Pelodiscus sinensis: one gene and its partner. The protein of the gene in region 2 purifies or fractionates together with the protein of the main gene of each other region. This does not show direct contact. Links are inferred from orthologs where the notes say so. Each region holds a gene or a part of one and is shown on either strand. Other genes may lie near its edges.

What was found.
Region 1: the proteins of SNX33 (region 2) and DNM2 purify together in Homo sapiens (co-immunoprecipitation; 3 studies listed by BioGRID and IntAct, with this or other methods). This does not show direct contact. The link is inferred for Pelodiscus sinensis from reciprocal best matches to the Homo sapiens genes SNX33 and DNM2.

Annotation. Positions count from the first base shown.
Region 1 is NW_027465894.1:168,941-183,706, reverse strand, and holds the start of DNM2 (dynamin-2), read right to left. Parts: upstream 5,788-14,766; 5' UTR 5,691-5,787; coding exon 5,530-5,690; intron 1-5,529. UniProt on the Homo sapiens protein: Catalyzes the hydrolysis of GTP and utilizes this energy to mediate vesicle scission at plasma membrane during endocytosis and filament remodeling at many actin structures during organization of the actin cytoskeleton.
Region 2 is NC_134724.1:34,382,572-34,397,561, forward strand, and holds the start of SNX33 (sorting nexin-33), read right to left. Parts: upstream 10,346-14,990; 5' UTR 8,507-10,345; coding exon 7,072-8,506; intron 1-7,071. UniProt on the Homo sapiens protein: Plays a role in the reorganization of the cytoskeleton, endocytosis and cellular vesicle trafficking via its interactions with membranes, WASL, DNM1 and DNM2. Acts both during interphase and at the end of mitotic cell divisions.

The DNA of each region.
Region 1 (14,766 bases), on a different chromosome or scaffold from region 2:
TTAAGTCATTCCTTTTAAGCGCTGCCCACACTGCTCTTAGGAAAAATGTTTGGTCTTCTATTCAGGTTCTTTCGGGACACACATCCCATGAGACCCAGCACCTGTACCAGTTTAACTTTACACAAACAAGCAAGGCTGCTGACGTAAGTGGGACTCCTGAGTGCTTAAGAGTTGAAAGGTTCTGGCTCACTGCATGGAGGATTGACCGGATGTTTGTAACCCAGTGCTGGTGTAGCCATGTGGACCTGAAGAAGGGTTCAGTGCAAGGTCAAAAGTCCCCCCCCCCCCAAAAGAAACTGGTCCAACAAATATTATCCCCTTCCTTAGTTGCCTTCGCCTTGTTAGCCTCACTATGTTCTCTCTGCATCCCTCCACCAGCTCGCCCCTTTGCTACTGGATCGAAGATAAGCCGCTTGTCTTCACTTGGCCCATCATTCACTAGATGTCAACACCCACCTCACACCTGCCACGCCCGGCTCCCCACGCCCATGCCTTACTTTTCCAAAGAAGCCCCTTCATTTCAAGGGAGGGACCACGTGAGGATTACCTGTCGTGATCCCTCCCTCTGGGGCATCAGGCACTGTCAGCAGCAGGGTACTGGACTGGACGGACCTTTGGTCTGACCCAGTGTAGCTGTTCTTATATTCTTATGTATTCTCTCCAGCTGCCCCTTGTATAAACATCCTGTTTCAAACTCTGCTTTAAGCCTTTGTAGGTATCACAACAATGACGCCGCTGGTATGTGGAAACTCCTGCTTCCTCATTGACCAGTCCTGTCTCATTCCTTTGACTCGTCCATTAGTCTGCCTGTATCCACCTGTCATTTCCTCATACCTGGGAAGCTTTGAGACAAGAACCAGCTTTTTTTGGGAGACAGGAACCAGCAGTACCACTCCCCCCCTTCCCGCTCAGCATAGAGCACCCTGCCCAATGGAGTCCTGGCTCATGGCTGGAGCTCCTCTTGAGGAGTTTAGATCAGCATTTGTTCCACCAAGTCTGACCTGCCCAACCCCAACCCGCCAGGTAAGATTTTCCTGTTGTAACATGTACAGGGTCAAGCATGGTGCCATGCTACAAGCGGAGGGTCCCAGCCTGGCCAGTCAACCCTAATGCTGGGTTAACCGTTTCAGGCAGCTCCAGTTACACCAGCGCCTGTAGTTATAGCTGCGCTCCCTTTTAATCTCATCCCAAACGCTTCTGTAGCGATGAATGGAGAGAACACAGCAGGGGACACTACCCAAGCCATTGTTCTTGCCACACAGCAGGAACTTTTGATCTTGTGGCTTCGAATGTGGAAACCCACCATTGAGCGTGCAGCATTCGACACAGACAGCATAATTACCCTCAATTACGAACAAAAGGGCCCTGCTGCAATACAAAGTTAGAACTAGAAGAGCTGACTGGAAGATTCCAGGTTACCCAAAAAAAAACCTTACAAAGATTTTTGCCTCACGTAAAACCTGCCTAATTCAGACACGTATTGAAAAAGATGCTAGAGATTTTGGTTAACCCCTTATTAAAGGCCTCCTTGCTGAAGGCTTAAAAGCTGTGAAACAAAGATTTTTTTAATTACGGGGCAGGGCTTGCAGCGTCACTGTAATTATAGGCTGCCAGTATATCCACTGGCAGCTTCTGAGGTGGTAATAACTTGACCATGTGGATCCCAACAGTGACAAAGCTTAACTCAACGCATCAGCCCAGGTGCAAGTTTTGTTTTACAAAACTGGATTTCAATTGATCCAGCTGCTTTTTAAAAAACCCATCAATTAGTAAAGATGGAAGCACTGGGCTTCCAATGCCCCCTCCCACAAGCTCTCCGCAAGCTCTCCATCCAGAACACGGCTCAAACCCACATGATAATGAAAGACCAAGATCAGATGCAACATCACAAGGCCCCAGATTCTGATTTAAGACACATGATCATTGTCACCAACCTAGGAAAATTGTAAATAAGTGAAAAGATTCAACTGCAGGATCAAAACACTGGAAAATTCCTTGTTCTTCCCCCCCCCTCCCCCCAACAGAAAGAATAAATGACTAGTCTGAGATCATTATGATTAAGAGGCTAAAGTATCCAAAAATGTAGGGAAAACAGCCCAGCCTGAGTCAAACCGAACACTGCTCTTTGGAAACAGACAAGGCACAACTTCTACTCAAGCCCAGGCATTACAGAAGAGGCAGGGAGTGGAAATGCAGGACTAAGTGCGCACAGTCTACATTAGGGATGGGAAAGGTTGGGCAGTTCCAGCTAGCCAGTGAGGGCTTTAGCAGCTCCAGCCCTGCAGGGAACCCACCATGGTCAGGGGCTGCTCTGGAGGGGCTGGGAGCAGGAGCCCCATGGCCTGGGGGCTGTTCCCACCAGACTTAGTAGGTTAACCAGTTAAGTATTAGGTTAACCTAACATTTAATCGGTTGACTGGTTAGACGTGAAGAATCCAGGGTTAATCTACATATCAAGAACTCAATACAGCATCTGCTGTATGCCAAACGGGGCCCCGCCTTGCTGTGCGCTTTAGAAACATATCAAGTAGTCATCCTTGCCCAAAAGGCCTTACATCGCCTAAAACAGAACTAAGGGTGGGAGCTGAACAAGCCAGAGACAAAATGACTTGCCCAAGGTCACCTGGCAGATCAGTGGCAAAGCAAGAACTAGACCCATGGCCTCCTAACTCCCAGTTCAGTGCCTTATCCACTGGGCCATGCTGCTTCCCACAGTGCCTCAACCTTTATTAAAGCTATTCCCCATCCAATACTATGAGGCACTACCGGAGAGACAGATTCCAGATATACCCAGTTAGATTGTCCTGTTCTACCAAAGATATCCTACAAGTAGCAAAAGTCACGCATTAGTTACCAACCTTTTACCCGCATCCTTTAAGCTAGGACAAGCTGTAGAAAAGGCAGAAATTCAACACACTGAAAACTTAGGTCAGCCTGAGACAAGACAGACCCTTATAAGTGACCTTGCTCCCCAGGTCACAGGGGTTAAGCACCACAAAAGCAGAAACAATTAAAAGGGACTCGAGTCACACCAGAAGAAATAAGCCTTTAAAAACCCAAAGCTTTAGTGGACTCTACAGTCCACTTGTGCAGTAGCTACCCTGTCACCACACTACCTTGTGACTGACACCTCACCTCAGCCTCTCCCCCTTATCTAGCAAGCCCACTTGCTGCAGCTTGTCTTCGAATGCACTCTCCCAGAGCAGGGACTGGATCCTGCAGACAGATCCATGAAGGGTGGGACCGAGGCAGGAGCCTAATGATCCACACTAAGGATATAATAGAGCAGTTGACTAGTCGGTTATCCGACAAGCAGGTCCTTATTGGTTAATGTATCAACTACACGCAACATTCCTCTCCCCATATATTTTTTAGCAGGCTGGCTCAGTCGCAGCATTAACCCCCTGCACTGGTTCTTAGTGCTTATAGTGCAGAGCCACAGTGGGGGTTGATGCCAGGTCCCAGCATAAGCCGGGACTGAGCCAGCCTGCCTGCACACTGGCTCTTCGTGCCAGGCCCCAGCATCAACCCCTGCTGTGGCTCTGCAGTACAAGCGCTTGTAGTGCAGAGCCACAGCGGGGGTAGTGGCCGGAGCCAGCAGGAGCCAGGAGCGAGTGGTAGCAGTGTTACTCCTTACTGATTAATCATGTAGTTGACAAAACGTTTGTCCACTACACAATTAACCAATTACATGCTTCTTAACATCCCTAATCCATCCAGGTACACAATTTCCAGGTCCTGGTTTGTACAGCACCAGCAGAAAAGGACCCCATTTGAATTAAGATCATCATGGGCATTATTGCCATGGGAACAGCAAAAGGCTAGGACTCTGCTATAAGTCTAAGATTAACTTGAATGAAGAACAGGTTCCAGTTTCTAGAATTACGCTCTGGAACCTTGTCAGCTGCTCTGACAAAACTGTCCTCCCCACCTTGCAGACACTTGTTCTCCTGTAGATCCTTGTACCACTTTTTAAAGAGTCCTGAAAATTGTGATTAAGGAATTCAAAGATGCTGACATCTACCCCCACTAATCTGCAAGTTAAGTGCCATTAATGAAACAACAACCAAAGCTGTTCTGTTAAAGCATCACACAGAGCTTGACTTCAGCTCGAGCGATCAATACAAAAAAACCTCACACATGCATTCCACAATTCACTAACAATCCAGGTTATTCTTAGACCATTGAAACAAAATGCTGACCGAACCCAGCCTGACTACAGAAGCACTTTCTTTTTCACAGGATCATTTTTCAGCAGATTCTAAAGTCCATCTCCGCTCCATTTCCCACTGGTTTGGAAAACTATCACTGAAACAGGGATCATCACTTGAAATTAAATAGCCCATGCAGTACCACAAGTGCAGATCCAGTGTGCTCCGGGTATACCAGAACATTTGTATAAAGTACAGTTAGCTGGATCAAGTGGCACACTGGCTCCTACCAGTGCAGATTAAAGATCTTCCTCCTTGGAGTTTAAGGAATTAAAACAAATACTAGAACAACCCTCTACACCAGCTGGCCCACTCTGCTCATATCCTGCATCTTAACAGATCCCACCAGGCATGACAAACCACTTCCCCAATTCTTATCCCATTGAAGTGGGTGGAAGACGGTTTATGCAGAAGACAAACAGGAATTACCTAAGTCTTCTCTCTCTCAGGGTAACATACAGCTCGCCAGTGTAAAAACGGAACTGGAGAAGGTAAGGGATTTGGAGACAGAAACAAGAGAGGCCATGGCACCTGAGACCTTATGAAAAGCTCCACAGGGTCTATCAGGAATATATAGACTAGACAAGAGCTCAGCTTCTGCTGCAGTAGCTGGCAGTTCCCAAGAAGGTGCAGGGGGAGGGGGGAGTTAGCAGCAAACAGCCTCCTCCTAGCCAAAGTGCCAGTCCCAGCACCTTGCACCTGCAAGGCTCAGCCCCAGGGACCCTTCGGCAGGAACAGGGTGGCAGCAAGTGGGGCAGCGGCCTCTCGGGAAGGGTGGGAGTCTGCAGCCCTGCCCCCAAGGCTCAGGAGGCCGGCGCGAGCCCCCCCCCCCCCACCAGGCGCAGGATGACAGCTGGGGGGGGGGAGGAGAATCCTGCCCCCCCCAGGAGCCCTGCTCCTTGCGTGGGGGGCACCCCAGAGCAAGTCATGGCTCCTGACGGGGGGAGGGGGGCTCCATGCAGCCTCTGGGGCAGGGGACAACTGGGGGGAGCTGGCCTGTGCCCAGGACTGGGGGACGCGCCTGCTGCCCCACCCCCCTGCTATTCACAGAGCGCTCTACGCCCGCTGCGTCCCGCGGAGAGGCGACCTGGCTACGCCGCCAGCGCGCGCGCCCTACGCCAACTGCGCACGGCCCCGCTCGCGCCAGCGGCGCAGGACCCAGGGCGGCGCGCGCTCGCGAGTGACGCGAAGCGGATTCACAGACCGCGCCTGCGCCAGCCGCGGAGCCGCCCGGCCGCTCCCGTCCCGCCGGCTTACGCAAGCGGCGTAGGCGCGGCCGCGCGCTCCCCCAACGGCAGTACGCGGCGCGCGCGCTCACCGGCCCACGAAGTTCTCGAGCACGGAGCTCTTGCCCGCGCTCTGGCCGCCCACCACGGCGATCTGCGGCAGGTCCAGGTGGCAGCTCTGCCCGATGGAGCTGAACGCGTCCTGCAGCTTGTTGACCAGCGGGATCAGCTCCTCCATGCCCCGGTTCCCCATGGCGGCCGCGGGGCCCGGCTCCGCAACGGCTCCCGGCCCAGCTTCCCCTCACGGGCTCCTCATCCGCCTCCGGCGCCGCTTCACCCCTCCCTGCCCCGCCCCGCGCGGCGGCGCTAGCCAATAGGGACGGCCGTTCCATCAGAGCGGGCGGTGGGTGGAGGGCTGGGCCTCATCGGCGCGTGGCTATTGGTCGCCTGCCCTGTCACTGGCTTCTCCCAACCTATAGCGTTCACGCGTGACCTTGTCAGGAAGGCGGGATATTTAGGTCCCGCCCTAATATCTCCTTTCTGGTTCCTCATTGGAGGAGAAGTCAGTCGCTCTACCTTAGGGTTACGCCCTCTCCGACCCTCACTGCGCCCTGTCTCCATTGGTCAGAACTTTTGTCACTCTGCCACACCATCCATTTCATTGGGAGAGGCGGGACTTTTCGAGGAAAGGCGTGATCAGAATGTCAATCATCATGTCCCTCCTCGTTATTGGTCTCCTGTCCTCTTCCCTCCCCTCCCTCCCCCCGCCGGTACCGTATTCCTTCGTATAGAACGTATCTCAATCGAGTACCTCATTTCTCCGTATAGCAGCACGTTACATTAGCGTATGTCTTCTTAATTTTTTTACCATATATCTCCCTCTAGAAGCTCATGTTACATTACCTTAATTCTCTCTGTTTGGCAGCCCCTTGTCCATACAGAAGCCTACTATGAACCACCCCCCATGGGGTAACATAGCTCTCCTAGCTAGACAAGCTGCCCTCCTATATAGCATATTGCCCAGTTTAGACGCCCACCATTGGGCTACCGTAGTTCCCCATATAGAACCTGTCCAATGCACAGTTCAGCAGCGCCACTGAGAAGGACGCTTATCCTAAATCTCTTGCCCGACTCCAGATAGGTGCCAAAACTGTTTACAAACATTGTCACTTTATATGCATTTTATTTGCATCGCCGTTCTGCCTTGAGACCACACTCATGCTGCTGGAGCCATTTCAGTCTGCCCCCAGCTTCCTGCTACCCCCCACATGCATCCTTGGTAGATTAGCAATAGGAAGATTCCCAGTGGGCGTCGCAGGTAGCCCCTACCCACGATCCAGAAGGGCGCCACGGGGCACCCAAAGGTACAGGATGGTAAACCGAGTCTCAGGCTCTACCCCATTTTCCCACTGGAGGATGCACTAGTGCTGGTATTTTAGCCACTCTCTGCTGCTGCCCATCATCCAAGGTCTCAGGGCACCTTCCGCCCAAAACAGTAGCAAAGCCACTAGGGGATTTCAGGGAGGGTCTGCCATTGTTTCCTTTTTGGGGCCAGGGAGAGAAATTTCTACCTTAAATGATAATGCATTTAAAGGGCTATTGGTCTCAGGAATTTTTGTGGCTGGGGGGGGCGTTATTAAGTAGAAGGAGAGGCTCAGAGCTGGGCACAAGTAGGGTGACAAGATGTCCTGATAATGTCAGGATGGTGCCACTATTAGGGGCTTTGTCTTCTATAAGTGACCTAGAAGCCCCCGCCCCCAGCACCCTGATTTTTCACACATGCGGGCTGGTCACCCTATAGATAAGTGTCAGCCTTAGGGCAGAACGGACAGTTTCCAGCATTCCTAACGCCATCAGACTGGGGCTGGACCTGCTCTCTGCTGGATGTTTGCCTGAAGCCAGTTTCCCCTCCACTGAGCACAGCTCCTGCCTGCTTGGGTACCCTGACTTCAGCTCAGGAAAGTGTCTGCTCAAGCCAGGACGAGGCCAAACTTGCTGAAGGGTTTTTCTGCACAGTGACTTTCCCCACAGGCTCTAGGAGCTGCAGCAGCCCAGCCAAGCTTAACACCCTGGCCACTCACAGTAGGATGGGGTCAGGACCCAAGCCCGGTGCATCAGGCCCGAGAAGTGGCAGCAGAGCGGGAGCTGGTTGGGGAAGGAAGGGCTGTTCTGCACATACAATGCAAGCCCCGGAGAGAAAATCAAGCCAGTTTCCTATAGGACAAGGGGGCAGCCAGCTGGGAGGGGCAGCCCCTTCTCATCCACACCAGAAACCCAAGTCTTAGCAGCAGTGTCCTGGGAATCACATTCCCGATGGCTCCCCCATTCACACGGCCCCAAACTCAGCTACCGCTGAGCAGGCAACTTTCCAGAGCAGCGTGTGCAAGAGTGTGAATCAAAATTGTTGCAACCCCAAGGAAAAGAACCTGGGGGGGAGGGGGGGAGACAATCTCACTGGTTTGTTTCCATAGTCACAAGTGTTTGATTTTGACCGTTTTTTAAAGGTGGCGGGAGGATTTAGCAGAAAGCTTCCCAGCCGGTTTGCCCCAGTAATACCCTCTCAGCCCGCTAGTTCACCCTTGTGCCGCACCTGGGCAGCGCCTTACGCCCACTCCCTAGGGAGTCGGGGAGCAGGACAAACGCTCGGCCATGCCGCAGCCTCACCCCGCTCTGGAGGAAGTTGGGTTGTTGTCACTGCTTTGATCTCGGTTGGGTGCTGGGGCTTCTCAGGGCACAATCCACGGTCCCTTGCACAGGGACTGCACGGTAGTGCTCCCCCAGCACAATTCCTGTGCTCACAACAGAATTAGTGTGTCGTCTTCGAATCGCAACTGAGGCCCCATTGGGGCAGGTGCTGCAGAGACAGAGAAACAAACCATTGACCCTGCCCTGAAGAGCTCGCCAACTAAACAGACCCAGGGTGGGAGGGGAAACTGAGGCACAGAGTGACTGCTCAAGGTCTCCCAACACGTCTGTCCCAAAGCGGGACTAGAACACAGGTCTCCCCCGTTCTTACAAGGCATAGGGCTCATTGATTCTCCTTGGATTTTCCTCGGGTGCTGCTTGGCCTGGCTCTTCTGGTGCCAGGGGGTGCCAGGGGTACAGTGTTTACAGACCGGCACATACGGCCCTGACAGTGAGTGCTAGAGGAGGGAGGTTAATGGCTTCCAGGCGACCAAGGCCCATGGGTGAGACACAAGCTTTCAGGTTCCACAGAGCTCTCCCAGGACCAGGGTCAAGAGGCCCCCCCCCCGGCCGCCAGGACTTACACAGTGATCCTGAAACCATTACAGCCCATGCTTAGTGGAACTGCCCCCAGGTGACTGGGGATGGCAGGGGAAAGGGGTACAAGGAGGCCACCCAGAGGAACAGGGAGGGGGCACCCCTGTAGCAGGGCCATGGGAGATGCTCTTCCAGCATGCTACCAGGAGTCACCTGTGCCCCCCCCCCCAAGCTTCCCAGTAGAAGCAGGTTCTGCCCAGACCAGGAGCCCACAACTCACCCCAGCGCCAGCCCCTACCAGAACAGCTGCCAAACCAGCAGCCACCCCCACCGTGACCCATCCCCCTCCCCCACGCACCGCCAGGGGCCCACACACACCTGGCCCAGCAACACAGCTGAAACCAGACACTGGCGCTGCTCTAACACCGCCTCCCACGGGTGAGCACAGGGCACTGCCCAGGGGCACAAACACCTTCCAGAGAGGAGTCCGGGAGCGAAACGTCGTCATGTGGCTCGACTCTAGAAACCAAGGACTGGAGGCCCCTGGCTGTAACGCTCTGTAACCCACTGCCCCCCACCCCCTTGTGGCCCTGTGACTGCGGGGTGCTAGCGGGCGGGGGTCTGAGGACCTGCATTCGCTCTTTACGCCAGCCCCCTTGGATTGCGCTGGGCTGCCAGGAGCCTTTCCCAACTGCAAAGGGCAGTCAGGTGAGCTCAGGCGCTCGGTCCCCTGAGAGAGCCTTCCCCCGCCCCCACCTCTCAGGGACCCAGCAGCACCTCAAATGCTAGTGAAGAGGCAGTGAAAAGCCAACAGCAGGAGTCTGCTTCTGAGACTAGATCCAGGTACCCAACCGTGGAAGCCGGCAGCAATTTCCCCTCCGGAGAAAGGGCCTCAGCCCGGTGAGTTTGAAAACACCATGGCTCTGTCTAGTCACGGCTTCTTGCGCCAGAAATATGCAAATGAGCCTAAGTGGGGAATATTGCTGAGCCTCATTTGCATACCTAATGAGCCACCATTTTTGCAGAAGAGGCCCTTGCGCCAGGAGCTGTCTACGCTTCCCCTTCGTGCGCAACGCCGTTCTTCCTGAAAAGTAAGCGGCCTTGCGCAAGAGGGTGTTTGTTGCACAACCGGGGCGGTGTAGACAGCTCCTTCTGGCGCAAGGGCCTCTTCTGCAAAAACGGCGGCTCATTAGGTATGCAAATGAGGTGTGGCAATATTCCCCACTTAGCCTCGTTTGTAGACGTAGCCCATGACAACTTTGGGCAAGCTGAGCTGCTTTCAGGAGGGGGTGGGGAAGAGATCTGCTCATTAACTCCCTCTAGAGCCTGCCCTTATCCATGATGCATTTGGGAGCGTGCACGCCCACCCGCCCCGCAACCGGCGAGAGCTCGGACCACCCACTCCGCCAGGCAGCTTCCTCGTCTAGCAAAGCGTGTCGGGGTTTGGTTGTGCCAGGACAACAGGCCCTGCCTGGAATTCAATTGTTTTCTCAAAGGGTCAGGCAGGAGGGTGAGTTATGCTGCAGAATGACCACAGAGGGGCAGAGCTGGGGCCCACTGGGCCAGAAGAGGGACAGCCACTGTCCATTGCAGAGTTTGTCGTCTGTCCCCCCCGCCAGGGGACATGCCCCCTCCTAGCACCTGTGCCCCCTGCAGCGGCCAGGGAGAGGCGCTTCTCCCCTAGCCCCAAGCCGCTGCGCTGAGTGCGGGCCGAGGTTTTCCTCTCTGCCCAGGGCAGCCTGCACCCCTCAGCGCTGATGGAAGTGAAGAAAACCAGCTTCTTAGAGTTAGGGACCCGCCCGAGGCCGGGTAAGACCCTGCTGGTTGTTCTGCGGGTGGCCTTGGTCTCCCATGTCCAGCTCCCTGCTGTACCGCGAGGCTATGGAGTTAGGTTTGTAGCGAGGAGGGCAGCGAAGGGCTGGGTGCCCCATGAAGTAGCAACACCCCACAGTGACAGGCTGCTGCAAACGCTTCCTTTGGGACCAGCAGGCCTGTCAGCCGGCAGCAGCCCAGGGCTGGACCAGCGCCCAGCAGGCCAGGACTGAGCCAGAGCAGCTGCTGCCAGCCTGGCCCGAGAGAGGAAGGCTGCAAGACTGTCCGTTGGTTGTGGGCAGAGGCTGGTTGCGGGGGGCAGATCCACAGCCAAGGCTGCTGCCCGTGAGCAGGTGATGGGGAGATGCCCCCAGCTCTGGGGTAGCCCCAGGAGCACCCCCCAGCACCAGCGAATAGGTTTGATTGCACCCTGAAGCAAGTTGCAGTCGCTTAGCCTACTTGCTCTCATGTGGCCCCCTCTAGTGGCGTAAGTGCCATCGGCTGGGGAAAGCCCCTTAGCCGGCTGGTCCCCGTCACCCCCCTCGACGAGACCCTCCCTCACGCACACCCCCGCCCCTCCAGGCAGGGCTCCAGGGGCAGGAAGAGGGGCAGCCACAGCTCACGTGGAAGAGTTTTATTTGTAAAAATCCAAGCCACTGTGACGTCATCCAGTGCAAGGAAGGGAAGCAAACACGGTTCAGACCCCAGGGTCCAAGTCCCAGCTCTGCCACCGCATCCCTGTGCCTCAGTTTCCCCATCTCCCTCCTGCACCTCACCTAAGGCTCTCCAGACGAGGGACAGTCTTGCTCACTGCGCATCACCCAGTTTAGGAGGCCCAGCCTCTATTGGGGTGCATCAGAGCAACCATGGACACCCACCGAGCTGGCCTGGCCCTCCAGACAAGGGCAGCCCAAAAGAGGTTCCCTGGAGCCAGGAGCCCTCAGTGAATCCCTCCAGTGACCCAGTATCTGCTGCTGGCCATTTGTGCAGAGGACTTCCGGCCTCTGCCCGGTTAGTCACACAGCTGGCTCCCCAGTACAGCCCCTCCCCCCTTGGACACCAGCCATTCCCCGAGGTGAGTCCCCACCCAGCCCGGAGCAAGCTTATCTGCCCCCACGTTGTCATTCCTTGCAGGTCCCTTTGCTAGCCCCTGCCTGGGGCTGCTTCCTGTCCGACTCCGGCTGCATCCAGCACCCCTGGCATGCAGCGTCGCCTGCCTTGGCCTTGCTGCCAGGGACCTTGGCCAGGGGCGCTCGGGGCTGTGCGGCCCGGCTGGCTGTGCCCCGCGGCGAGGGCGACACAGAGCCCCGCAGCCCTGTCACAAGCTGACTGAGCCCTGGGGGGAAGTGGCCAGTGCACAGCGTCTCCATGCTCCTCCTGGGGCTCCTGGAAGAGAAAGAACCATCAGCTCCAGGGCACAGCTTCCAGAATACCTCCTCAGGAATGCACCACTGCCCTCCACTGGATGGCCCCGGAACTGCCCTCCTGTGTCATAGGCCCTATAGCGCCAATAGCTAATGGAGATTCTCCTGGGGCTCAGTGACAGGCGCTTCCCGAAGAGCTCCAGGTCCTATCCTCATGGAGCGCCGCATGTCACAGCACGCAGCCTACAGGCCACCGAGTCCACGTCGATTGTCGGCTGCGTGGAACAAGGCAACGTTTGTCCAGCGCCTAGCGCGACAGAGCGCTGCTCCCAGGCTCCAGCGTAAGGCCAAGTTGGAGCACTGCATGCTGGGAGTCCGTTCCCATGGGCTGGCGCCTGGCTACGCTACATGCAGGTCTAGGAGGAGCCGTCCCCGGCGTGTTACCTGAGGCCCGGAGCGCGCTGGGGGCTCTTGGCGGGCGAGAAGGGGAAGGCCGGCAGGGAGCGACGCTGGCGCGACAGGTAGCTTCTGGGCAGATCGGCGGGCAGCTCCACATCCAGGGGCAGAGCCATCTCTGGGCACGGAGAGGACAGGGACGGATCAGCCCAGCCAGGCATGGGAGGGGCCGAGAGCCGGGTGAGCTGCCCCACCCAGCAGCACTGGCCCAAGTCACCGGTGTAACCCAGGTTCCTGGATTCCAGACCCTCTGCACCCACCCAGGGACACGGGCCCGGAGCCACACAGGCGATAGAGCCCTGGGGCCCCAGCAGGGCGGGGTCCGAATCCCCCTCCATCTCCAACCCCTCCCCCATCCAGCCCGTCTCCCCCGCCAGGCCCTACCACTGCGGATGCGGCTCAGCTCCGGCCCCAGCAGCTTCCCGTCCAGCGTCAGCAGGACGCATTTCTCCACCTTGAGCTCCGGGCTCAGCTGATCCACGGCGCGCAGGCTGGGCCGCTCCAGCGCCTCCCCTCGCAGCATGGCCAGGCGCTCCGAGCGCAGGGCGTGCACCACGCTCATTGCTGGTGGGGGGAGAGCAGGGGTGGCATGGGCCAGCAACCCCCCATCCAACGCCCACCCTCAGGCTACAGCCACGGCCCTTCCAAGTGCGCCAGGGAGAAGGCCCCAAAGCCGGCATGAGCGTGGCAGTGACCCCCACCCACGTGTTGGCCCTTGGTGCTTTACCCAGCCCCACGGCTGGGTCCCAGCTCCCTGTGCTCACCGCATCACAGTGAGCACCACTCCTCGCATGCCCACGTGCTAAGGGACATCGCCCGCGTCCCACGTGGCACCAGAGCGCTCGGGGGGCCCTGTCCCACACGCTGTGGCCAGTGCCCACGGTCAGCCCCAAGATGGCCAGCTTGAGCCCCACTGCCAGCCACCCCCAGGACAGCATTAATGTTCCCCTCCCCCCCGCTGTGGGAGCGCCATGACCCAGAGCCCTTTGGCACCTGCTGCTGGCTGGGCAGCCTCTCCTGAGGCAAGGCTGGCAGGATGACATGCAGCCCCCCAGCCGGCCTGCCAGCCCTGCCAAGTGACCCACAAGCAGCATGTTAGCCCCACCCCCGGGGCAGGCCAGCACCTGCCTGAGGCTCACAGCCGCCAGGGTCCCTGTGCTGTGCCCACCCCAACGAGCTCAGCCTATGTAGAGTCCCTCCCCAAGACTGGCCCACGACCCTCGAGACAGGCCTGGAACCCAGATCTCCAGCCGGGCCCCTCACCCCCACCCACTGCTCAGCCCCTCCTGAGAGCAGCAGCTGTGACTCCCTCCCTCCGCCTGCTCAGCAGGCTTGGCTGTCCCGGCCGAGCCTGCACCCTGCTCCGTGCCACCTGCCTCGGCCCAGCGGCTGCAGCATCCGAGCCTGGACCAGGTTCGCCTTCCACACCAGCTCAGCTCAACGCTGACATGTGGCACCTCTCCTCTGCCCTGCACCTGCCAGCCACCCGCCCCCTGGGCAGGGAGCGCCAGCCGCCCGCCCCACCCACCCACCGGACAGGGAGCCCTGGCCCCTGCCAGCAAGTCATCGGACCCCTTCTGCAGTGCTGGAGGCCAGAGGAGACTTGCCCATCCCCCGGGAGAGCAGGGTCTCGCCCACCCGCTACATCTGCAGGGGCCGAGCAGCTGTGCAGGGGAGAACGCCGCGTTCCAGCAGCACAAGAGAAGCACCAAGCTCGGGGTTGGGCTGCCCGTGGGATCAGCAGGGCAGGAGGATGAACGGGAGGTGGCAGGGGAGCCGTGAAAGGAAGCGAGGGGCCAGCTGCAGCAAATGATTTTCCTCTTGCCTCTGGCTTTCTGGGCAGGAGTTAGAACTAATTAAATCCCTCACCGGACTGAATCTATTGCCGCTTCCCAGCGGGGCTTAGCCCAGGCAGCGTGGGGGGAAAGCCTGCCACTGGCCTGCTTCCAGAGCGCACGCAGGGGAGGCTCAGACCGGGAAGTGGGCCAGGCTGCTCTGCAGGTTCCTGCTGCTCCCCACACAGGGCCCTGCTAGGAAGCCACTTGTGAAAGGCCAAGGCTCAGCCTGGGGGGGCAAGGCTGCTCCCACGCTCAGTGCACCAGGCTAGATCTCTGGCAATAGGGGTTGGAGTCCTGGTTCTGCCGTAGGCTGCCTGGCAGGCACCTTGTGGCCGCTACGTGCCTCAGTTTCCCCATTGGGGCCTGGTAGATGTGAGGGTTTCCCGGGATCGTCAGGCTCTAAGACCAAGTCTCATTAGCAGCCAGCACAGCTGGCCCTTTAGCAGAGAGAAGCAGCATGTTCTTTTCATAGCCTCCCCCAGGTATCCACCCCAAAGCGCTGCCAGCTGGAACCTGTGTTCTGGAGCCAGGCAGGCAGCCTGGCACTGCTGGGCCAGAGAGGGGGTTCCAGCTAGGGCTTGCTCGCAATCCACCACTGGCTCACACAGCGGGCGCTGGGTCCTGGTGCTGCATGGGG
Region 2 (14,990 bases):
AAGAAGAGCAGACCAAGTGTTTTCATTTGGGGAGAAAAGAACGGCAGGAGCCAGGAACCAGGCAGGACTGTGGCTGATCAGAAACTCTCTGGACGGAAGGAGGCCGGACACTGGACTGTTTGGGTTGACCAGGGACTGCTGAGGGGAAGAGTGGGCTCTGATAGCTCCGCACCAGAGGACAGGCGGATGATTAACCTCAGAGGGGCTGATAACTGGGACAAACACACCTTTATTTTGTGATTAGTTGGGGACTGTGACTTTAAAACCAGCTGCTCGAGCAGCCAGGGGTTTTGGGGTGGGGGGGAGTGGTGTTTGACCTTTGATAGTGAAATGGCCAATGAGCTGAACCCCCAGAATGGACTGGCACTCCCAGAGGGGAAACTGAGGCGGGGTGCGTGCAGCACAGGGGGCAAGTGACATGTTGGCTCCCAGATCCCTCACAGTTTGAGATGTGTTCGGTGCCTAAAGATCATTTCCAACTTGCTCTCAATCAAGAGCAAAAATTATCTGCAAGGTCCTAGTCTATTCAGACACATATAGGGAAATCCTCCCTTTGTTTCCAATGAGCCCGGAAGGGATCCTGGAAAGGAGAACGGCGGCTCCGGGGCTGTATGGTTTGGCCTTGTTTCTCTGCCTTTGTTACTGTTTGTAAATGCTCTGTGAATGAGATTTTGTGTGCATGAATGTAAGCAGACCGGGTGCTCTTGCTGTAAATACATGGGAACCGGGACATTAGTCGTTCTCTGATAGTTACGTGCTGTGCTCCTGAGTAAGACGATGTTTCAGTCGTTCTGATCAGGGGAGCAGAAACATTCCCATGTGACCAAACACCATGTTTAGTCAAAAAGAACAAGCTACGAATAAGCCATTTTTGCACAGCCTGTTCAATGAATCCCCACTCACAAATGGATGTGAAAAATATAAGCAAGTTTAGGAAGAGAATAAAAAGAGTAAATTTGCAGTGAACTCTAGGCCTAACTCTCCCCTGTCTTGCGCACAGTGAGTGTAATGCAGAGCAGAATAGGAACCAGAGTTTATGTTTTGTAGGAAATTCCACAATTTCAACTTTTTCCCCTTTCTAAAATAGCCAGCAAACAAAATATTTCCTGTGAAACAAAATCAGCCTCCACCCCAAATTAGTTTGGAGTTGACTGAAATGTTTCCTTTTGATGCAATTTCAACCATTTACATTTTAAAATGTTTGTTTTTTTATACGAAAAACGGTGAATTTTTTTTCAGAATAAAAAACTGAAGTGATCCATTTGGGAAAGGACAAAATGAGAAGTTTCAACGTCATGGAGAAGCTTCATATCATTTCTTTCTAAAAAACATTTGTCAAAATGACACATTTTTTAAACCGTCAATTTCAACCAAAATGGCCAACTTTGTAATAAAAAATTTTTTAAAAACCATTATGATTAAAAATTTCCAACCACCTGTGGTGTAAAGTGTTTCACACTCACTTTGCAATGGGATAGCTTACTGCAAACCAGAAGTCAGACCCATTCTTAGCCATGAACAATTCAACCGAGCCTTGATTTTAAAATGCAATGATAGCAAAGTAGTGATAGAAATGTAGCCGTGTTAATCTGGGGTAGCTGAAGCAAAATGCAGGACAATGTAGCACTTTAAAGACTAACAAGATGGTTTATTAGATGATGAGCTTTCGTGGGCCAGACCCACTTCCTCAGATCAAAATGATAGCAAAGGATATTGCTGTATGCAAGGCAAGTCAAAATGGGCTTCGCAAGGGACTTTATTATTTAGATCACTAGAGTTCCTGATCAGGCCCCCATTGTGCTAGGGACTGTACATTCATATAACAAAAAGTCAGCTCCTGCCCAAATGAGCTGACTGTCAACTAGCTACTTCAAAGGCAGATACAAGAGTCCTTTTTCAACTTCACTTTATTAGTTCTGTCCTCAGATGCTAGACAGAACTTTTCCCATTCTGGTTACTGACTTTTAAGCTTTGCCTATCTTAGAATGTTGAATCATGTAGCACTGTTGAATTGATCATCAATGTACTTAAGCTATATAAAGCTTCATTCATATGCAGAAGTGTACCAGTTTAACTGAGGCCTTGTCCACGTGCAGAAGTTGCAATAGTTTCACTGAAATCAATTTTCAAACTGATTTAAGTGAGCACAAACCTCTGTGTGAACCCTCATATTAAAGTGGCTCATTTTGAGTTATCTTAAATCATTGACTGGAGCTAAATTAAAATAACCCTGGTTTACACCAAAATGAGAGCATCCGCATAGCCTTTTGCATCCGTTTAACTATATTGGTTTAAAATACACCATAAGTTCAATTGCTGCAACTTTCTCATGCAGACAAGCTCTAACATAAGTATTAACGCAAATGATGGTGCTAAATGTATGTCTGATTCACACTCAGCCTCAGGGAGGATTAAAGGAAAATGATGCAGACTGAGAAATGGGTCCGAAGGTCAGAATGAGCTGTAAAAGGAGTCACGACCAGGAACACTTTTTGTGGAGTAACTGATTTGGCAATTACTGGAACAGGGCCAGACCGAGACATTCCAGCATCCCGGACAGACAGTTTAATTGCGCCCCAGGTTGGGGGAGGGCGCATGCGCAGCCCCGCCCCCACCTGGCATGTGGGGGAGGGCGCACGTGCCCGGCCATGCCCAGCCCGGCTACCGCCGCTGGCGCGCAGTCTGGGGCTGGCCGAGCCTGGCCGCACAGGGCCCTGCGGCCGCGGGTGGAAGGGAGCTGCTGGCCAGCACTGCGGGGTTTAACGCGACCCCTGTCCCGGGTGGCCGCTGCAGGGTGGCCTCTGGGAGCTGCTGCAGCCCGCAATCCAGGAGCCGGGCATGCGGCGCCTGATGGCAGCTATAAGGGGCACTGTGCGCCCCTTACAGCTGCCATCAGGAGCCCCCCACAGGTTGGCGCCCCGGGCAGCTGCCCGGCTAGCCCATGCCTTAATCCAGCCATGTACTGGAAATGAACTAGCTCAAGATACACCAACAACAGTCCCAATCTAGAGAAGGCTTTGAGTCAGTAGTTGGTGCTCGTGGGAAAAGCTGTTTCAATTTTGTTTTTTAATTCTGTGAGAAGGAATTCTGCTCTCTGTCTGCATCATTCCTCTCCCTCATTCTTGAGCTCCAAGTCTATTTGCATGAAAACAGGATCTCTCCTTTCTAAGAGCTTCTATCCAGGCCGGCTGCACCTGACCCAAAGTTAGAGTTCTCTGTTTGTGACAGAACAATAGGCTCTGGAGGAAGTTAACAACATGATGTCACAAACAGAGGATTATGACTCCTGGTCATGGTTACAGCCCCAAGCCTCACCCAGTTAGATTCTAGGCCTACTTTCACACAAAAGTCCTTAGTAATAAGAATGAGTGGAAAGAAATATAGAACATCTTACAAGGAAGGAGGCATACATTTCTCCTTGGGGCATGTGCCAGCAATGTCCCTCTGCGATATATATTGGACAAACTGGTCAGTCACTTCATCAGAGAATCAGCGCTCACAGATCATACATCAGAAATCTACACTCAGAAACCTGTCAGCCAGCATTTTAATTAAATTGGCCATTCCCTTAAAGACCTGACAACATGCGTCTTACTACAAAGAGACTTTAACACCAGATTAGAGAGAGAGACTTCAGAACTTTTATTTATGCTAAAATTCGACACATTGTGAGTGGGCCTTAATAAAGATGATAATTACCTTACAGTTACAAACACGGCCTCCCCACCTTTTGATATTCGTAGTAACTCCAGATCAGCCACTTAATTGACTCATACAATAAGGAATTTCCTTCTTCCTTGTCTCTTCCTTGTCCCCTCGCCCCCACCTTCTGTTCTATGTAGCTGATTTGTTAGTTTGTAATTTGTTTACTTTTTTCATTGTATCCCTCTGTTATATAATGGTCATGCCAATTCACTTTCAGAATATGATCTGAGGAAGTGGGTCTGCCCCACAAAAGCTCATCACCTACTAAACCATCTTGTTAGTCTTTAAAGTGCTACATGACTGCTTTTTTTGTTTTACCAAGATCAGACTAACACGGCTACCTCTCTGTTACTTAACCTTGTAGTGTAAGCTAAACCTCAGTTTAAGGGTGGCTCTCAGCATTAGCAGAACACTTCCTCATGAACACATAAGCTTTTCCCTCATTTATCTGTGAGCCAGGTGTGACTCACCTTTACGGTAATAGAAACCGGATTCCGCCCATGAACCGCACCCCTTCTGTATCTGCTATGGCTTCCTTGATCCATACAATAGCATGGTAGAAAAGCACTTAAGAGACAAGCCTTCCTGCCTGAACTTTCTCACTGGCAAAATATTTGCCCTGGAGTGAAATCAGAGCTGGATCCTTTTGCTAGCTTCCTCCCCTTGGATGGAAATACAAATTGGGGGGGGGGGGGAGGAGAGGGAGGAGTGGCATCCCTGAAGGAAGGCAGAGTCTATGGGTAGATTTTTCTCCAGTCGGAGCTGGTGGCCTGAGCTTTTGGAAATCTCCCCCTCTGTGAAGGACACGGCTGCTTTCTCTTGGGCAGGCGTTTTGTTCCTGCAGCACCTCGACCCGGGCCTCCTGGAGTTTAACAATGCAGTAACTCTTGTTTCTCCACTTGTCCCCACAACACCCAAATGTCTCACTTTCCCCAGGCCACATATGAGCAGAGGAGGGAGCCTGGGGTGGGCAGTATGACTTCTGGGATTAAAGGGGACTGCCTTTCCCCAAGTGCAGTGCTTTCTAGAGTAAGTCTCCCAAACACACACAGCTCTGCTGCTAGTGAAACACAGACACAAACAGCGTGTTCGGGAATCCAGCATCTCCAGGCCTCTGGCAAGCGGCTTGCTAAGACTTTGGGCTGGCCCTGCCACTCCCAATCTCCTGGTTCTTGGGCACCCTTTCTCTTCTGCTGGGGATAAAACAGGATTCTCCTGCCCAACAGCACAGCCTGGCTCGGCACTGGCAGACTTGGGACAATGCATTTCCAAGACCTCTTCCCCTCTGCTGCTCCGAGGCTCTCTGAGAGGAGCTACCAGAGGCCTGGACTGCCCTAGAAGCAAATGACTACGTAGGGTCAGAACAATCACGTTCCTAGCCACTAGCACAAGGTGATGATGACTGATACTGGCGTCTTAGCAAATGCCTCGTGCTCTGCAGTGGTAGAGGGAGCAGGAGCCTCCAGGGTAGTCGTGGACTGCTCTCTGCAACCAGCAACACCAATACAAATGCATCACATCCGAGTATAGTAGTCCGTGTGGGGAAACAAGGGTTTATCTATCGCTAGATTTCCCTCCCACCCAATACTGGCGAGAGGGAGGATACTTGACCAAGATCTCATTATTTCAATGAAGGAGATAAGAAAGGAGGAGGAACACATTCACGAAAGTTCATTCACGAAAGTTCCTCTCAGGGCTGGGCTCCCCCGCGAGGAACCAATCACAGGGCTGCCAAAATGCACTTGGCTTCCCCTTCTAAGTGTGAGTTGGCAGGAGGAAAATTAGACCTGATGTTATGGTGGAATGCCAAGAAATATAGGGCAGTAAGCAGCATGTCTGGGCCGTGTACGAGGCTGATCCTGGCCCATATTCTGGTCCCAGAGATTCAAATAACCCTCTCCACAGGCAGCAAGTTGTAAGAGACTGAACACCAGGCAGGGAGCAAAAACACTTGAGTTCTGCCACTGACTCACTGTATGGCCTTGGGGAAGTCACTTAGGCCCAAATTTCATAAAGTGTCCTCTAATAACAGCTGTTGCACTCTAGCCTCTACAGCAGGGGTCTCCAACCTTTTTAAGCACGAGATCACTTTCTGAATTTAAGTGCAATCCAAGATCTCTCTCAAATATAAATACCCTTTCCCCACCTCCTTCCCACTCCGCTCTCTCCATTCTCCCTCTCTTGCCCATCCTCACTCACTTTCATCAGGCTGGGGCAAGGGTTGAGGTGCAGGCTTTGGTCTTGGATTAAGGGATCTGGAGTGTGAGAGGGGCTCTGAGCTGCTCTGGGGGCAGGCAGTTGGATGTAGGAGGGGTTCTAGGTGCAGGCTCTGGGACGGCATTTGGGTACAGGGGTGCTCAGGGCTAGGACAAGGGTTTGAGGTGCAGGAGGGGGTTCATGACTGGGGTAGGAGTTGGGGATGTGGGCTCCAGCTGGGCACTGCTGGTGGATCCTGGGTGGTGGTGCAGTGGGGCTAAGGCAGGCTCACCCCTGCTCTGGCCCTGCCCCACTCCCTAAAGCAGCCAGCAAACTCCATCCCAAGTCCTGTTGTGACCCCTCTCTGCTCTGTGGAGAAAGGATAGAGAGTGGGAGAGGGGGCACCCTGACATCAGAACCCCCCGTTTCCCTCCCCCTGCCCTGCACAGAAAGCAGGAGGCTCCCGGGGGAGGAGCAGGGGCAGATCCAAGGCAAAGGGCAGGAGGTGCACAGCAGTGGAGCTAAGAGGCAGCTGAAATTCAGGCACTTGACAGCCTCTTGGCCAAACTAGTCAGGATCACCTGTCAGAAGCTCCAAGATGTACCAGTAGATCCTGATCTACTGGTTGGTGACCGCTGCTCTACAGCAACTTGCAGACTACGGAGCATCCAAAACTCCAGGTGAAGTCTCCAGGGGTAGACACTATCAGGGTCTCTGAAAATCAGGCTCCAGAGCTTCCCAAATTTGGCACCCAGAAAAATGAAGCACCTAAAATTACTGATCTCTGTCAAGCCCTTGGCCCCTAATTTCATTGTTCTAGGGTTGCCCAGCTGTAAACTGAGATGTACAGTTGCCTCCCAGGAGTAACAGGAGGTTGCTTCAGTTCATGTGTGCACAGCACTTTGAAAGGTAGAGCACCATGTAAGCCAAAAGTACCAAGCCACTTCTATAAGAGGCTGCCAGCGTTACCTACTTCGTGTCTTGAGAGGTGACTCCAGATCACCCCCCAAGGAATGAAGCCAGATCCTGCTTCCCCTTCTGGAGCAGGCCATCCCCATGGAACAGCCAAGTGCTCCCTGTCCCAGGAGCGATCTCCCAAGACAGGCTTTGTTGCCTGATCGTGACAGCGCCTGAGACCCAAGACAGCTGCTGCCGCTGGGCGTGGCTTACCTTTCTGAAGGTGAATGATGTCTGGGAAGTTGGAGAGCAGCCCCTGGTACAAGGAGAGAGTGTCCAGCATGAGGAAAAGATCGTTCTTGGGCTGCTCAGCGAACATCTCCCCAACGGTCTCATACGTCCTGCCTGTGTGCGAGATGGCGTTGTTGAGTGGTTCCGAGCTGTAGGGCGGGTCCATCTGGAAGGAGTAGCTGATGGCTTGGAAAGCGTTGCCCAACTTCTGGAACTCCTTCCGGAACCCACCCAGGTGTTTGCGCACTAGCTCCGAGGCCACGTTGGTGAGCTGCAGGACGCTGTCGTCCATCTTCTTGCTGAAGGCCTTGAAGGAGTCCACCCGGTCTTCCACGTCCTGCAGGTCCTGGTGTTCGGTGGGGATCTGGAAGGTCAGCAGGAAGCTGGCCCCCACCATCTCATCCTTCTCTGCCCGCCGCTTGCCCATCTTCCACTGCTTGTCGTCGCGGCAGGTGAGGAAGTGCTGGAAGCCCTCGTATTGGGACAGCACAGGGTGACTGGTCATATGGTCCATCCACAGGATCAGCCTGCGCTTGCGCTTCTCGATGAAGTCCTCCTCAAAGCGCCCAGTGGCCTGCTTCTCAGGCAAGTGGGGAATGGAGATCACCGTGAACTTGTTCAGCAAGCGGTTGTACAGCCAGTCAAAGTGCTTGTAGCGCCTGTAGACCGGTGCGTTGATGCTGCTGGGGGTCAGCTTGTAGGAGATGTAGCTCTTGATGCCCTTGAATTTTGTTTGTTTGGTGGGCTCCTCCACAGAGCAAATGAAAGGATGCGGATTGGGCCTCCACTGGGGGCCCTTGGGGCCCATCTCGATGCTGTAGGTCTCAGCAATCTTGGACATCATGGGCACATCTCCCAGGATAAAGGCTTCCACCCCAGAGCGGACAAAACTGGAGAAGCGGTTGAGGTTCCGTCCCACCACACTGCCCCTCTTCGAGGAACTGATGCTGTCCTGCCTCTCCAAGGCTGGCTTGAGACGATAGCCAGCGTTCTGATGGGGGTATGCTGCAGGGTACTGCAGGTTAGGGGCTGGGTGCCCATTGGTGCCAGGGCTGCCCCGCGGCTCTTCCACCACTGTGCAGCCATCATCCCAATCATCCCAGTCATCATCATCATCATCCTCAAAGCTTCCCTGGTAGGAGGTGGTGATGTTGGGAGGGGGCACATGGAAGGGCTCGTTCCCAGGGGAGCTGGCAGGACTGTTTGAATGGTCCGTATAATTGGAGCTAGACCTGGACCTGAGAATCTCAACGTAAGAGGCAGGAAAGATGCCGGTTTCCCCTCGGCTGTTCTGGCCCTGCAGCCACCCGTCCAGGGAGTTTTCACTGAAGATCACCAGCTCCTCATTCTCCTGGATGCTGATCTCTTCTTTGTTTTCGCTCTGGAAGTTGTAAAGTGCTCTGGCTTTCAAGGCCATGGCTGCACCGGAAGGACTGTGTAACTCAACTCCCCACCAGCACCACTAAAACCACCTCGGCTGTTTCAACAACCAACAGTGATGTGGAAATGAGCTTAGGTGAATCCACCTTGAAGTAATAAAAATATAAATATATATTTGTCTATGATTTTTTAACTTCAAGGCCTATACATTGCAGTTTAAATTCATCAGCGAAAAATGGCATTCCTGGGGCAATCAAACATGTTTTGCACACTCCATTAGGTGATATATGCCTCAGTCAGACGGACACACATCCATAAGGTTGTCAGCTCCATCTGGTGCGGTCCACCTTCCCATACAAATCAAAAATACCCCCAAATAATCTTGATAAAATGCAAGAAATCAAAAGTCCCTTTTTTGCAAGACTTTTTTAGTAAGGATTAAGAAAAAAAAAGATAAATCTTGACCCATCTTTCAAAAAACATATCAGGTGCAATTCAGAAGCCCAGTGCTTGAAGAGGCCTTACAAAAAAGGCGAAGCAAAACAAAAACACAACCTTAAAATGATCTCAGCACAAATATTTTGCAATTCCTGACGGGGCTGATTTTTTGAAATCCACAAACCTCCGGGGGGAGGGGGAAAAAAGGGAGGGGAGGTTTGGAGGAAACTAAAAAGCCAAAAAGCAATCCAAGATAGAGAGGCGTGACACATTCACTCAGCAATAACAAGAGTCGCCTAAATAAAAAACCTTCTTCGAAAAAGTGAAAAGTTCATGGGAAGTTTAAAACGGAGACAAACCGAGAAGTAGCTGGTTCTTTCAGGACAGGAAATTTTTAAATCACTTTTACCACTGAGAATGGACGGTGCTAACCAAATAAAAAGGGAAGGATTTGCCACTCACCCACCGACACAAAGTTAGACAAACCCTTGAGAAGGGCTGAAAGATTTGAGAGTGGCCTCCATCGATTCAGCCCGAATCCTGTTTGGCAAAGGGGGTTCTTTTGTTGTGATGATTTCCTAGCCAGTTCCTCTCTGTGCCCTGAAACTGAGATAGTCCGAACAACTAATAATCCAGCCGTTTGGAGAAGAAACCAAATGCAACCATCAACAGACGACGTCCATTCCCCTTCCCTTCTGTACCCAGCACAGTGCTTCCCAAACGCTGCACCAGTCTCCAGATCGCAAAAGCAAACGAGTCGGGCCGGGGAGGAAGGGAGCCGCTGGATCCCCCCCTGCAGACTTGGGGGGCAACCAGGTTGAAGTTCCCCAGTCCCCAGGTGTCACAGGGGAGGGAGGGAGGCACGATCCCAGGTTCTCGCGTCCGCAGGCCGAGGAAGGGAGCGGGGAGGGGGAAAAGCAGCCTGAAGAATTCAGCAAAACAGCGGCACTTCCGTTGGGAGAGAGGGCTGGGAAGCCAGGCAGGAGGCGCTCTCTCCAGGCTGGGCTGCGGGGAAAGCTCCCAGGCTGGGACCCAGAAGAGCCACGTGCCCTTTCCAGACCCCCTCCTCCAGGCGCGGGGACCGGCAGCGCAGAGCTCTGCTCCCTTCACTCCATCTTGCCGAGCTGCCGGCCGGGCTCAGAGCCAGTCGCGGCCTCCGCCGTCTTTACGCAGGGCGCTTCGGGAGTCCCAGTCTCTGGGCTCCTCCTCCCGGCTCCGCACGCCCTGGGCCGGCTGGTGCCGGGGGAGTTTCCCCTTGCTTAGTCCTTCCTGCGCCTGCTGTTTGGGGGGACCCGCCGTAAGTTTGGGGGAGTTGCCTTGTGCAGCCTCGGGGTCCCCTTTCCCTGTTTGCTCTGCCCTCCCCCGAACCCCTGGAGTCCTGCGCCCCGCTCCACAGCTGGGTCCCCCTGCCACACTCCAGCCTTTTCCATGACGCAAGGGAGGAGGCGAGGCTCGAAAGTTTGAAAAGCCTTCAGGCGAACCCAGAGCCAGGGAGCGGAGAGCCCAGCTAGGTCACAGGCTGCCCTCTACAGGCAGCCAGCACAGCTGGCCTGGGCAGGAGGGGGAGGCTGGGTTTCTAAGCAATGGGTGACAACTACTGTATCTGATGCACATCTGGGTCAATAATTTATTATTGTTACAATACAAACCTACAGACCACGTGCCTCGATGTTCCTGTCCTGTGCACAGGTACAAGCAGGGAGCAACTCCATTACAATCAATGGAGTCACACCAATGTAAACATGGAGAAGAACCAGGCCCCTGGGGTGGCCTCTTATTTAAACAGCCACCCTGCAAGCTACTCCCCATAAGTGAACGTTTGGCCCCACATGGAGCCCCACTGGAACAGCTTTCAGGATCAGGGTCTTCGATGACAACTCATTGGTGCAAGAAGTATCTGTACTTGGGAGCTTGTGTCATGACTGGCACATTATCCGAGCTTAAACACAGTAATTCATAACAGCTACATTTTCCCAAATGGGGACTGGACACGGGCATCACTATAAATAACTCCAGGGACCTCTGGTGTCACTGTGTGTCTTGTGTGACTGCAGGAACAGAACAGAACACCTGAAGGCCGGAGCGCGTTCTGTTTGGTTTTTGGTTACAGCTGTATTGTTTTGGCTGAATTCAAAAGTTGGTGCATTCGGTGAGACATGTGGCCCTGAATTCAAACCACATGCAGCAGAGCCAGGGAAGCTGCTCCTGCTGACTGCAGGTCTGAATGTGGCCCATGGTGCATGAATTTCTAATAAATTACCTGATAGAACTTTTTTTTAATTGTATCCTTTGGTATATATGGTTGTGACTACTTTCTTCCACTATTTGATCTGAGGAAGTGGGTCTGGCCCACGAAAGCTCATCATCTAATAAACCATCTTGTTAGTCTTTAAAGTGCTACATTGTCCTGCATTTTGCTTCAATAAGTTACCTAACACTGTAAATACAAAAACACAGGGGAAGCGTAGTTTCTCAACTTTCTCATCCACTCATCCTACTTTATATTTAGTAAGTAAACAGAAGTGAAGTCTGTGCCCATCTAGCCAAGAGAAACAGTGTGATCTCTTTAAATCCAATGCCCATGTTTTAATACGCACATTTTCTGGCTTTATTACTTCAGGTGCTAATTGTTTGTTATCACCTTCAATAAGCTTCATTTCTATAGGACGGCCCATGCTGGCTTGTTCACTATGATTTGCATAGAAAGATCATACATGAGATATTTTCATTTCACAGGAAGGTAGCTAACAGATTTCTAGATCTTTTTTTGCTCCCAAACTTCAATCCTGACAGCTTTAAAGGGCCAGATTCACCATTACCCAGCACCTTGCTGAGTCATTTGCACCCTATTCAAATTTTACATCCATTCTACAGTCATGTAGAATTTTACATCCATTTTACATCCATTCTACAGCCACGCACCAAAATGGATCGGGCCGGCCCTGAATGTGTGAACGTCCCAATCCAACTCTGCTATCTGGTACCAGCCACTTTTACACTGTTTCTAATTTTTGCCTTTCCAGTATGCACTAGAGCAGTGGTCCCCAACCTTTTCAGGTTGTCGGGCGCCAGGGGGCGTGGCCGTTCGCCCGCCGGGCGCCAGGGGGCGGGGACACTTGCCTGCCCGGGGGCGGCCCCCCCAGCCGCATGCCCGGGGCCGGGGCCCCCCCCATAGCCACGCGCCCGGGGCCGGCGCTCCCCCCGTAAGTGCTGCGCGCCCGGGGGCGGGGCCAAGGCTGGGGCCGGCGCCGGGGCACGGGCGGGGCCAAGGCCAGGGCCGGCGCTGGGGCCAGGGCACGCGCGGCGCCCCCGGGGGCGGGGCCAAGGCCAGGGCCGGCGCTGGGGCCAGGGCACGCGCGGCGCACCTGGGGCCGGGACCGGCCATGCGCCCGGGGCTGGCACCTGCCGCACGCCCAGGGGCAGGGCCAGCCCAGATTGCTCCGCGGGCGCATGTAAAGAGCCCGGCGGGCGCCATGGCGCCCGCGGGCACCGGGTTGGGGACCACGGCACTAGAGCATGGCTACTCAACTTTGGAAGCCCCAGGGGCCACAATGATACTCACAGCTCATGCTGAGGGCTGTGACTTAAGTGTGGTTGCCTATACATGCAAATATATGCAAATAGCTTTTTTCACACTGACAGGCATGAATACAAAGATTAAGGCAAGACTACACAACACACAGGCCCCATTTAAGTCAGTTCTGCTGATATTAATAAAATGCAATATTTACCCGATTTCCACCCATATGACAGCACTTTTAATGAGCAATGACAGTCCAGGAATTTAACTACTAAAACACATATCCACAGAAGACCATTATATTAACTACTTTTTTGTTTTGGCTCCCACCACAGGTCGTACGTTACGCCCCTGTGTAAACCCAAACCATACCACGGGCCTCAAACAAATGAGTGGCAGGCCACATGTTGAGTAGCCCTGCACTAGAAGGCCAGGATTGCATTTGCTGTGTATTTTTCCTCCACTGCAAAGCAGCATATGTCTGTGGCCCTGTGTATAGGTAAGGTACACAAGGGGAAACTGACTTCTGTCTCCTTAATTCCAAACTCCTGTTTGTGGAGAGGCCTGGCAGAGAAAATTCACTTTAATCATGTCTCATTTAACTTGGACATTTATTATTAATCAGAATGATTATTTGATGAGTTCCTCTTCTGTGAAACCTGGGGCACGTCACCGTCTCCTGTTCCCTTAAGAGTTTACAGCCTATGGGCCAGATCCTGAATGTTCTTATGCCCAGGAGCAGCCTCACTGACTTCAATGGGAGAACTTGCAGAAGCAAAGTTCCTGAAGGGATTAAGCATCTGCAGGAGGATCATACTGTGTATGAAGTGAGCCGGCGAGGGAGCACACAAAGGATGCCAGCCCGGGGTATGATGAGGTCTGGATCCTGCACATCATAGGAAGCATGGGGGTGGAAGAATTAGACATCGTGTTTATTTCCAAGCTTGTTCTCCCAGCTGTGACTCTGCGGGGACGGAGGGAGGCCTGGCAGGGGAGGGGCCGAAGCTGGCTGCGGGCTGGAGCCCTCGGGACACGGGGAAGCGCAAGAAGCACGAAACCAGGGACCTGCCCGCCCCGCGCGTCAGAGCGCGCCCGCCAAGCCCAGGCGCGGGGCTGATCGCGCTCGGCCCGGCCCGGCGGGAGGCGCCTGCAGGGAGGCCCCGGCTCGGCCCCAGCAGCCCCGCGCGGGCGGGCCCCGGTGACGCGGGAACTCCCCAGCCCGCGCGGCCTGGGCCTGGGCCTGCCCGTGGCGGCTCCGCAGCGGCGGGGCGGGGCCGGGAGCGCCGGGCAGGAGGCCACTCCCCGGCCGGACGCAGCACGCGGCGGCGGGAGCGCGGCCCGGTGAGCGGAGCTTCGGGCGGGGCCGGGCCGGGCTCTGCTGTCCTGCGCCCCCCCCGCCCCATCGCACCCCCTCCCTCCGCGCCCCAAAGCCCCCCCGCCCCATCGCACCCCCCCGGCGCCCCATCGCGCCCCAAAGCCCCCCCAGCGCCACAAAGCGCCTCCCGCCCCATCGCACCCCCTCCCCCCGGCGCCCCAAAGCCCCCCGGCGCCCCATCGCACCTCCTCCCTCCGCGCCCCAAAGCCCCCCCCCGCCCCATCGCACCCCCCCGGCGCCCCATCGCGCCCCAAAGCACCCCCCCGCCCCATCGCAACCCCTCCCCCCCGGCGCCCCAAAGCAAATCCCTGCCACATCGCGCCCCAAAGCCCCCCCCCCGGCGCCCCAAAGCACCCCCCCGCCCCATCGCAACCCCTCCCCCCCGGCGCCCCAAAGCACCCCCCCGCCCCATCGCAACCCCTCCCCCCCGGCACCCCAAAGCACCCCCCCGCCCCATCGCACCCCCCTACTCGCCTCCCGCCCCATCACACCCCCTCCCCCTGGCGCCCCAAAGCACCCCCTACCCCCGGCGCCCCAAAGCACCCCCCTACTCGCCTCCCGTCCCGTCTCCCAGCCCCCCAAATCCACCCCTCCCCTTCCCTCCCCTTCCCTCCCCTGCTCTCCACCCCCTCCCCCTACACCCCTCTACGCCTCTCCTCTTCTCCCTCCCCCCCACCTCCTGCCCTCCCCACCCATCGCTCCCCACCCCCTTCTCCTACACCCCTCTACGCCTCTCCTCTTCTCCCCCCGCCGCCTGCCCTCCCCACCCATCGCTCACCCCCCTCCCCTGCTGCTTCCATTGCCCCGCTTTCCTTCCCCAGCCTCCCTCTCCCCTAACCTTTGCTGTTCCCTGCCCAGTTCTTCCCCTTCCTCCTGCTCCACTTCTCCCATCACCTCTCTATCCCTCTCCCCCATAGAGCCACATCATGGTCCAGCTAAGTGGCCCGGGCATGGCGGCTCCTGGGTTCTGTTCCCAGCTGTACCTCCTGTGCCCACATTTCCAAATGTTCATTATCCTCCATATTTGAGTTCCTAGTTAAATGGCCCGGTAGCCAGAGGAGCTGAGTACCAAGCATGGCTTCCCACTGAGATCCATGAGAATGGCAGGAGCTTAGCGCCTCTGAAGTCTGCTCACCTTTATATAAGTGCCTGACAGTATTGGCTTTAACCTTAGTCTCTCCCCCTTTC